Linked DNA regions of Mus musculus. The protein of the gene in region 2 interacts with the protein of the main gene of each other region in a biochemical or structural test. Links are inferred from orthologs where the notes say so. Each region holds a gene or a part of one and is shown on either strand. Other genes may lie near its edges.

Region 1 (3,500 bases), about 130 Mb from region 2:
TATTCTCAGCGGAGGGATGGAGCATCTCTTGGTACAAGAAATTTAAAGTTAGAGCTGGGCATGGTGGCACACACCTTTAATCTCAGCAGTCAGCACTCGGGAGGCAGAGGCAGGCAGATTTCTAAGTTCGAAGCCAGCCTGGTCTACAAAATGAGTTCCAGGAAAGCCAGGGCTATACAGAGAAACCCTGTCTCAAAACACCAAAAAAAAAAAAAAAAAAAAAAAAAAAAAAAGGAATTTAAAGCTAACCTGGAAAGCAATGCAGGATCACATCTCAAAAACCCAAACCAAACAAACCTATGAAAATGTCAAACCAAACCTCTATAAAACAGTTCAGGTTTTTCCTTAATGGGCCCATTCTAAGTTTCCATGGATACATCTTATATTTCATTTAAATTTGCCTACTTAACTTCTAGTGCTGGGGATGAATGCTAAGTACACATTTGACCACTGAACTATATCCACAGCCAGAATTATATATAATTTCCTTAAAGGAAAGCAAGACTTGGCACAGACTGTAACTTGATCATTCATGGAACTGCTAAGGGTTCATAGCCATTGCTTGAAGACATTACCTTTACTATGTCTTTGCATGAGTTTTCTTTTGAAGTGCCTTACTAAAACTGGAAGTCCCTACAAGAGCAATAAAGACAGTTGTGTACACCTGTTGTGTGCTGGAGCGTATCACTGATTCCTGGACTATTGCCAGACAGTCTGGAGCAGTGCTGCATGATGGGAGGACAGAGATGCAGAGACTGAGAGCATCTCCATGTTACCACTTTCTATTTGGTTCAATCCTAACATGTTCCTTATGATCTTTGTACCTTTCTGGTATTTTTCAAAGACTCACTGCTTGCTGGTATCAACAAACCAGTGGACTCGGTTCTTGCTCATGTACTTAGAAGCCGGATTCTCTGGTGCGGATCCAGACTCAGCCCCTTACAGAGTGATCTCTAGAGCTGCAGAACAGCTGAGGTCTGTCATCAGTGGTCTGCAGCATTGAATGAGTGTAACAAACGTCTCTGCAGTTCAGGGAAGCACACATACTTTATTATTGAGAGAAAAAATCTACCTGACAGGCTAAAAAAAAAAAAAAGAATCTTAATTTTGCCAATTCAGTTTTGTTTTAGTTTGACGAATTGAAATACGAGGCTGGATGTACACACCTGTGTAATCCCAGCACTTGGGAAGCTAAGGCAGCAGGATTTAGAGTTTGAGGCCAGCCTGGGTTACACAGCAAGACCGTGCTACCACTCAGTGGTTGAGCTCTTCCCTTGCAAGCACGAGGCCCTAGTCCATTGATCCCCAGTACCAAAGAGTAAAACAACCCCTTATCTAAGAAACAGCGAAGAAGAAAATAGTTGCTACTGTTTATGAATCTTGTTACACAGCAACCCCCTGTCTTGAAGGTAGACGTGAGGACTGTGGGAACAGAGAGAACACTTGGTGGAATTGGGGGTGGAGAAACAGGAGGGCATCAGGCACGGGGGTCAAAGTGTGGAAAGCAGAGCACAAGCCTGCAGTGAGATGGCCTCTGTGGCCCAGCACACATACCTTCCCTTGCTGTGTACTCGTTATCTTCGATGACTCTCGCGAGGCCAAAGTCTGCAATCTTGCACATGAGTGACTCAGAGACCAGGACGTTAGCAGCTCGCAGATCACGGTGGATGTAGTTCTTCCGCTCGATGTACGCCATGCCTTCTGCAATCTGCAAATAGAAGGGGCTCAGGCTTGTATTCTAGATAGGCTGTCATGGTTGGCCATCAAGAAAAACAAAACAAACACAAACACAGAACTTGAGCTTTTGAGATTCTTTCATGTGTATTATTATTCCTGTTGTTCACATTTTTAAGATAGTGCTAAAGTCACCCTTAGAATCCTTTCTAAAATCTGTCCCTAACATCTACAATGATGATAACTTCAAAGAAGGTTTTATTATCTGTATGTCTCTGTGTGTGTTCATATGTGTATGTGTGTGTTTGTGCATCTTTTGTGTGACAGTGTAAACATTGCATGTAGTTGCTCATAGAAGCCAGAAGGGGGCATCAGATCCCCTGGAGCTGGAGTTGCAGGCAGTTGAGAGCAGCCCAACATGAGAACGGGGAACTGAACTTGGGCCCTCTCTAACAGCAGTTTGTGGTCTTAACTACTGAGCTATCTTTTTAGCCCCATGGTAATGGGTTTTGGTTTGGTTTTTTTTTTTTTTTTTTTTTTTTTTTTTTTTTTTTTTCCTTTCTTTCAGTTTTTCGAGACAGGGTTTCTCTGTATAGCCCTGGCTGTCCTGGAACTCACTTTGTAGACCAGGCTAGCCTTGAACTCAGACATCCACCTGCCTCTGCCTCCCAAGTGCTGAGATTAAAGGCATGCGCCACCACTGCCCGGCATAATCTTAGATTCTTAAGTGAGGAAATATATGCTATTCTCTGGATGTTGTAGCCCCCAAATTCATATATTGATACCCTGACCCTCAATATGATCCTTATGTGTTGGCAGTTGTAAAGTAATAAGTCAGGGCATCATGGAAGACTTGGTGTCCTTACACAAGAGACCACAGAGAGCTTCCTGGTCCCTTCCACCTTGGGTAGCCATAGCTGTTAAGGGAGAATGTGTGTGTGTGCATGCATGTGTGCATGCATGTGTGCATGCCTGAGCCAGGAACTGAATGTGCTGGCACTTCCTCCCGGACATCCCTAGAACTCTGAGAAGTAAATGCCTGTTGTGTGAGCCATGCAGTCCATGATGATTTGTGGTAGAAACCAGAACTAAGACAAAAGAAGTGAAGAAATTGAATTTTTAATAATACAAGTTCATTATAAGGCACCAGGACATGAGGGCTGTGCTTGTTAGTAAGACTCACTCTATCAAGATCTTGCTAAGGAAGAGCTGTAGGTCCAGCTCTCCAGAGCCTCTGAGCACAGTCCCTCAAGATGAACTGAATATACTCTGACAACAAAGCAAGGGCATGAGGCAGAATGAAGGATTCCAATAGACAATGACCTCGAGAGAAGAAGGTGCCACTTAGTGCTGGCAGGAAGTGTGGCAGAGCTCTAAAATAAATTAGAGGATTGTTCCACCAAATTACAGTCAAGGATAAGGAATGAAGGTGTGTGTGCATGTGTGCTTGTATGTGTTTATTTGTGTTTGTTTATGTGCATGTTTGTGGTGCGTGTTTGTGTGTGCTTGTGTGTGTGCATGTTTGTGGTGTGTGTTTGTGTTTGCTTGTTTGTGTGCATGTTTGTGATGTGTGTTTGTGTGTGCTTGTGTGTGTGTTTACGTGTGTTTGCTTGTGTGCAGGCTTATGGTGTGTGTGTGTGTGTTTGTGTGTGCTTGTCTGTATGTTTGTGTGTGTGTGTTTAAGAGAGTTAGAAGTCACTTCCAATTAGGATTACTTCTAATAGAGTCCATTGCCCCCCAGATTCTGCCTTAAACTGCAGCAGCTCATCTGGAAGGACCAGACTCCTCCATCACTGTGAGCAGCAGCCTCATTACATCATGCTGTG
Region 2 (6,769 bases):
TGTCTTCTCAGCCATCCAGAGGCAGAGGCAGGTGGATCTAAGTTTGAAGACAGCCTAGTCTACATTGTTAGACCCTAGCTCAAAAACAAACAAAAACAAAAACTGGGGCCAGGAAGATGGCTCAGCAGTTAAGAGCACTGCCTGCTCTTTCAAAGAACCTGGGTTCAATTCCCAGCACCCAGATGGCAGCTCACATTGGTCTTTAACTCCATGACCAGGGGATGTGACAACCTCACAGTCAGACATGCAGGCAAAACACCAATGCACATAGAAAATAATTAATAAATTTAAATAAGGCAAAAGCAAAAAAGACCCAACTTTAAAGTGTTTTCTCTTAGTAACCACACCAAAGTTAAACTCTGACTGCAGAGCTAAAAGAAACATTTAAGAAACAGTATTTTTGCCTGGCGTGGTAGTGCACGCCTTTAATCTCGGCACTTGGGAGGCAGAGGCAGGCGAATTTCTGAGTTCGAGGCCAGCCTGGTCTACAAAGTGAGTTCCAGGACAGCCCGGGCTACACAGAGAAACCCTGTCTCAAAAAAAAAAAAAAAACAAAAAAAAAAAAACAAAAACAAAAACAAATAAATAAATAAAATAAAATAAAGCTAGGTCAAAAAAAAAAGAAAAAGAAAAAAAGAAACTATTTTTGTGAACCCCAAAAATCCGTTAAAAAGAGAATGATCACCGTACTTGATGTCAGAAAGGCCACATTATGCCTTATATATATAGGAATTATACCAAAAGAAAACCATGGTGACATTTTATCTAGTGAGTACAGGTCAAAGGAACCTGGCTGATTTTACATATAACAGACCTCACACTCACTACTTTAGAGATGACACCGCAGTCTTAGTCAATTTCACAGGACCAAGTCACTAAGGGTCACTCTCCAAAGTTAACATCTTAAAATTGACATAACTCTTCAGCAATTAATCTGACAGGTTGTAAAGATTTGAGGAAATAAAAATAAGATTAGCAAGTCAACCTCTACCATAATGGTATTCTTCAGTCTGCAGGTACTTATTCGAAGTGCCAATCAAACACAGGTGTTTGCTATTTGCAAGCCAGTATGAAAAAAATATAAAAAATAATGACCCAAATTGTAAATCAGTTAGTAGAGTACTATGTCTGATCCTAGGCATTGCACAAACTGAGTGTGGTGGGGCTCACTTCCCAAACCCTCGAGGAAATGGACCACAAATTCAAGGTCACCAGTGGCTATACAGAGAGTACCCAGCCTCAGCTACTTGAGACCTTTTTTTTTTTAAAAAAGAAAAAAAAGGAAAAAAAAAAATCAAAATTTTACTAAGTTGTCAGAACAAAAGAACAGAAACGTAAGAGCCCAAGTATTACAGAATAGAGGTACCAAGCTGACATGCACAGAGTTGATGTTTCTATTCACTGACCACAGGTTTTGTTTACTGTGCTTCAAAGGCCCTTATTTGCTGTTTTCATATTTGACTGGAAAGAAAAGCAGGTCTTTAAGTCATTGTAGATCCGTGACCTTTTTGCATTATACAAACGGTAAATCCCCTTCAACAATGCTGGGAAACAGAGAGCAGATGAAGGGAAAATGGTATATTCCTTTTATTTCTTTTCAGCTTTGTATTTTGAGTACCTGTGTAGGACATAAGATAACATCAGGCCGGTGGTGGTGGTGCATGCCTTTAATCACAGCACTTGGGAGGCAGAGGCCAGCCTGGTCAACAAAATGAGTTCCAGGACAGCCAGGTCTATACAGAGAAACCCTGTCTCGAAAAAACAACAACAACAAAAAAAAACAAAGAAAACAGCCGGGCGTGGTGGTGCACGCCTTTAATCCCAGCACTTGGGAGGCAGAGGCAGGCGGATTTCTGAGTTCGAGGCCAGCCTGGTCTACAAAGTGAGTTCCAGGACAGCCAGGGCTATACAGAGAAACCAAAAAAAAAAAAAAAAAAAAAAAAAAACCACCAAAGAAAACAAAAACAGGATCCCCCAGTACTGAAGTTACAGGTGTCTGAAAGCCTTCTGATGTGGGTGCTGGGAACTGAACCCCTGTGGAAGAGCAGACAGTGCTCTTAAAGGCTGATTTGTCTCTCCATTAGATAGTGCTCTTTCACAATGAACTGTCCACGATATCGTTCTGGCCAGAGTGCAATGCTCTGTGTACTGGACGCTATCAGAGGAGATCTGGGGGCTCTGGAGCATTGCTCTCCAAAGGAGAGGGGGGAGAATTCTGAAGCTCTCAGGCAGTCTTTGATGAAATAACCTTTATTCCTTGTGGCTAGGGTCTAATATACATTTTGGGGTGGGGTGGGATCTAAAAGCAGATGCTTTCTATTGGCTTGGTCGGAGAAGTTAGGGATGCTACATCTGCATGTGGAGGGAGGGCCTTCAGGTGTTGGGGGGGGGGTTTAACACCCCGTGTGACTGACTCATGGGGTGTCTTGGTCAAGTGTTCCAGGTTCAGAGTAGGGTTTCTGAATCCGCTCAACCTTCCCAGTTTTTGTCTGGTGACAAGGTTCCATCAGCCCCTCAACAGTCCAACTATTCAACCAGTAGGACAGACTGTGGGTATTAGATGCTTAATAAAAATTAGATATCAGCCGGGCAGTGGTGGCGCACGCCTTTAATCCCAGCACTCGGGAGGCAGAGGCAGGCGAATTTCTGAGTTCGAGGCCAGCCTGGTCTACAAAGTGAGTTCCAAGACAGCCAGGGCTATACAGAAACCCTGTATCGAAAAACCAAAATCAAAAAAAAAAAAAAATTCGATATCATAAAAAATACTAAAACCATGTCTAACAACAGGCGGCGGTTTGAATAAGGAAAAATATCTAAGTCGCTCAAGTCCGGAGAAGAGAGCTCCATAGTCTACAATCAGAGAACAAAGACTACCATTCTTAAACTATCTCTACTCCAGCAAAAACTAAAACAAAAAGACCAATTTCTCGTTCATCTCACGCAAAAGAACCTGCCTGCCGCCCCTTACCTCCCTCTATCATTTCTTTCTACGGTCTCCTGGGCTATCACAACCCCCCCCCCACACACACACACACTTTTGCATAACTTCAGAAACACATTTCAAAATAAAACAGAGAAACCATCCGGGTCTGCAGCAATTCTTACTCGACAGGCCGAAATGGAAAGCTTGGCTTGAGAAAACCTCAAGCTCACGGATTCTCTCGTCGCCCCGACCTCTAATGAACTTAAACCCGAGTTCCCGCTAAATCCCGCCCCGCTCCGTAGATGCGCTGTGCGGGACCGGCATTCCGGCTATCTCTACCTTACACCCCAGGTCTCCATCACCCGCGATTCCCCCCCCCAAATGTTTCCTCTTTGGGAAAGCGGGGAGAAATAGGTTCATTTCTGTTAAGAGCCGGCCCTTGGCGCGCGGGGCAACTACTACGGGAGGAGAAGGGGGCGGGAGCACGGTACTATCCATCAAGCTCTCCGCGCTCTGAGATCGCGAGTCCTCTTCGGGCCTCGTCCGTGGCTCAGAAATCTTCCCTTACACCCTGAGCCCGGGTGGGACTGTGGGTGCAGAATCTCGAAGGCCAGGTCGAGATGACAACTCTCGATGCCCGGGCTCCGAGGGGGTGGGAGCAAGAACAAAGCGGCGGCCACCCACAGTCAGGACCGGGAGACCCAGAGGACCCGCCAAGAACCGCTTACCTACGGACAGCAGCTGCATGGCGTGAGTGAAGGACGGGTCGAGCGAGTCCTTCTCGGCCATGAGTTCAGGCAGGTACTTATTCTCCGGCTCCATCTTGACCGCGGCTGTGGCTGACGGGGGCAGCAGCGGGGTCGGCGCGGAACCCACCACCGTCGCGTCGGGACCAGGGGTGGAGGGAGGCAGCAGCGGCGGCGGCTGGGTGGCGGGCGAGGCCCGAGCGCCTCCTCTGGGCCCACCTCCCCCTCCCCGGGGCCGGTGAGGAAGCGGCGACGGCCGAGACGGGGTCAGACGCACCGAGGGGTGGGCACCTGACGGGTCCTTGGAGCAGCTGCGGCCCGAGGACCGGGTGAGGCGCGAGGCAGGATCGTCCCGGCGCTGCATCGGGGATGATGGGTGGCGAGCGAACGAGCGAGGAAGCGACGCGGCGGCAGCTGAGGCCCGAGCGGCGGTTGGCGGGGGTGGAAGAACAGGAGCGACAGCGACCGAAGCCGACCCGAGCGACCCAGCGAGAGAGCACCGGAAATGAGGCGGCGCGCGTGCGCAGGCGCCTACCGGCACCGCCCTTGAGTTTCTCCGCGGAGAACAAAGTCCCCAGTTGGACCACGGCGCCTGCGCCGACTGAAGACGTCGCCTCCCCGCTTGGGCTCCGAGCTTAGGGCGCCTGCGCGGGCGCCCGCCGCCTTCCTTCATTTCTTTTTCTTTTCCACGTGACCCGGCGCTAGCGGTACACGTGTCTCCCCTCCCCCTCCCCCGGGCGGAGTGCGCGGAGGGGGCGGGCGCCGTGGAATGTCTTTGTCTGCGCTCGGGCCCGCGGAGTGTGCGGCAGGAGACCTGTTATTCGTGCGCCACGCCTCCTTCAACGGCCGAGCCTGGGGAGGTCCCCGAGGGAGCGGTGCCCCGGAGTGGAATCGGGGGCCGCCCCTCCAACCGGGAAATGAAAAGAACGCTTCTGGAGAGAGGGGGACGCGAGGGTTAGAGCCAAGTGAAGCCGGAAGAGAGGGAAAGACTGCGCGAGCGAACGGGATGGGAAGATGGGGATGCGGGCGGGCGTGGTGGGAGGGAGGAGGCTGACCCAGAGATAAGTGATGAGTGTGCGAAAGGGAAGCCAGGAATGGGGAATGCTGTGTGTTGCAGAACTGAAACTCAGAAGGAGTCGAAGGGGTCAGTCAGAGACGCAAAGACCGGAAGAAAAGGGCTCCCTCCATACCCAAGTAGGGCATCCAGGAAGTCAGTCGGCAAGATTTCCATTAGAGCAGGTTCAAAACTAGTGAGAGAATTATTAAAAGATGCATTTGGGGTCGGGTCAACTGGTAATGCTGCTTATCACCTGTTTTTGGAGTCCCCGGCTTGTTGGCTTGTTCCCCACCCACTCATCCCCGGTAAATTCCAAATTTTCTCTCTCTCTCTCCTTCCAACCCCGCCTACTCAGAAAGCCTCAGAACACAAAAAGGCGCCAAAAAATCCAGTCCTGAATTCCTGACTGTACTAATCCTCATCTTTAGTCACCAGCCACCCAAGCCCCACCCTAGATGACCATACCTGGGCACAAGCCCAGCTTGTGGTAGACTTGTCATTTTCTTCGCCTACAATCTATCAAAAAAGTACCAGCCATACTCTGCCCCCGACCTCTGAGGCTGGTGGACTCACCCGGGAACCCATTTCCAAATAGATATGCCTTTTTAAAAAAAATTATTCTTGAATTAGCTTATTTCGTTGGGGGTGGAGGGGACTATTATCAACCTGAGTTCTAGCCCCAGGCCCAAAATAGGAGAGAACCAGCTCTCCCAAGTTTTCTGACCTCTACTTGCACATAGAGGCCTTCATGTCCAGCCATACTAAGGGGATGAGGTGGTTATGCATCCTAGCGCTGAGGAGGAAAAGCCACAGAATTACCTCATGTTTGAGACAAGTCTGGCCTACATACACAGCACAGCTACAGGCCACCTAGGACAGGCCACCCTGTCCCCCAAAAACAAACTAAGAAGCATCTTATATTAGGTCTCTGACAAACTGCAGTCCTAGCACCTGTTAGACTGAATTGTTTTGTTGCCACCTTCTGTTTATTCTGTAAAACGGTGACTCCAGGGCCAGTCCTTAGCCCATGTTGGCTGCCTAGTTCTCAGAGCTCCTAGTACTCCTGCTCTGAATGCTGGTCCTTCACAAGGGATCCCCCTGCACTCTTTCAAAAAGACAAATACTTTCATTTTTCCTTAACACGTGTTTTCACTGCAGAGTCAGTGACTCACTCTCTAACCCAGAGTGGCTTTGAACTCAAAACAACTCAGTCTTAATCTTCAGAATACTGGAATAACAAGACATAAATCACCATGAGACAGATAGTACTGCTGTAAGGACCAGGGCACAGTCTCTAAGATCTCTTCATCCTAGGGTACTGTATGCAGATGGAACCCAAATTAAATCCCATTAAAAGTCTGAGGCTGGGCTGGTGAGATGGCTCAGTGGGTAAGAGCACCCGACTGCTCTTCCGAAGATCCAGAGTTCAAATCCCAGCAACCACATAGTGGTTCACAACCATCTGTAACAAGATCTGACACTCCCTCTTCTGGAGTGTCTGAAGACAGCTACAGTGTACTTACATATAATAAATAAAAAATAAAAAAGAGAAGTTTTTAAAAAAAAAAAAAAAAGTCTGAGGCTGAGATGTCAAGATGTCTGAGCTGGTTAAATCATCTTCAGGCCTGAAGATCTGAGTCGATCTCCAAGACTACACAGTGGGAGGAAAAAACTGACTCTCAAAAGTTGTCCTCAGATCTACACATGTGCCATGAAACAAAATGTACACATACACACACAAAAATAAAGATCTAAACATAACTTAAAATTTTTATAAGTAGCCAATCCCAGCACTAGGGAGGCAGAGACAGGCGGATTCTGAGTTGGAGGCCAGCCAGGTCTACAAAGTGAGTTCCAGGACGGCCAGGGCTACACAGAGAAACCCTGTCTCAACCCCCCCCACCAAAAAAAGATGTCAAATTACTGAAAAGGTTGGGTTTTTGTTTGTTTGGCTTTTTTGGTTTTGATTTTGGATTTGTTTAGCTATTGTTTTTGAGGTAGAGTTCTTACTATGTATCCCTGGCTAGCCTGGAACTTGATTTG

What was found. The genes of interacting proteins can lie anywhere in the genome.
Region 1: the proteins of Khdrbs1 (region 2) and Lyn form a complex in vitro, tested with the Homo sapiens proteins (3 studies listed by BioGRID and IntAct, with this or other methods). The link is inferred for Mus musculus from reciprocal best matches to the Homo sapiens genes KHDRBS1 and LYN.

Annotation. Positions count from the first base shown.
Region 1 is NC_000070.6:3,779,121-3,782,620, reverse strand, and holds part of Lyn (tyrosine-protein kinase Lyn), read right to left. Parts: intron 1,709-3,500; coding exon 1,555-1,708; intron 1-1,554. UniProt on the Homo sapiens protein: Non-receptor tyrosine-protein kinase that transmits signals from cell surface receptors and plays an important role in the regulation of innate and adaptive immune responses, hematopoiesis, responses to growth factors and cytokines, integrin signaling, but also responses to DNA damage and genotoxic agents.
Region 2 is NC_000070.6:129,738,128-129,744,896, forward strand, and holds the start of Khdrbs1 (KH domain-containing, RNA-binding, signal transduction-associated protein 1), read right to left. Parts: upstream 4,177-6,769; 5' UTR 4,034-4,176; coding exon 3,652-4,033; intron 1-3,651. UniProt on the Homo sapiens protein: Recruited and tyrosine phosphorylated by several receptor systems, for example the T-cell, leptin and insulin receptors. Once phosphorylated, functions as an adapter protein in signal transduction cascades by binding to SH2 and SH3 domain-containing proteins.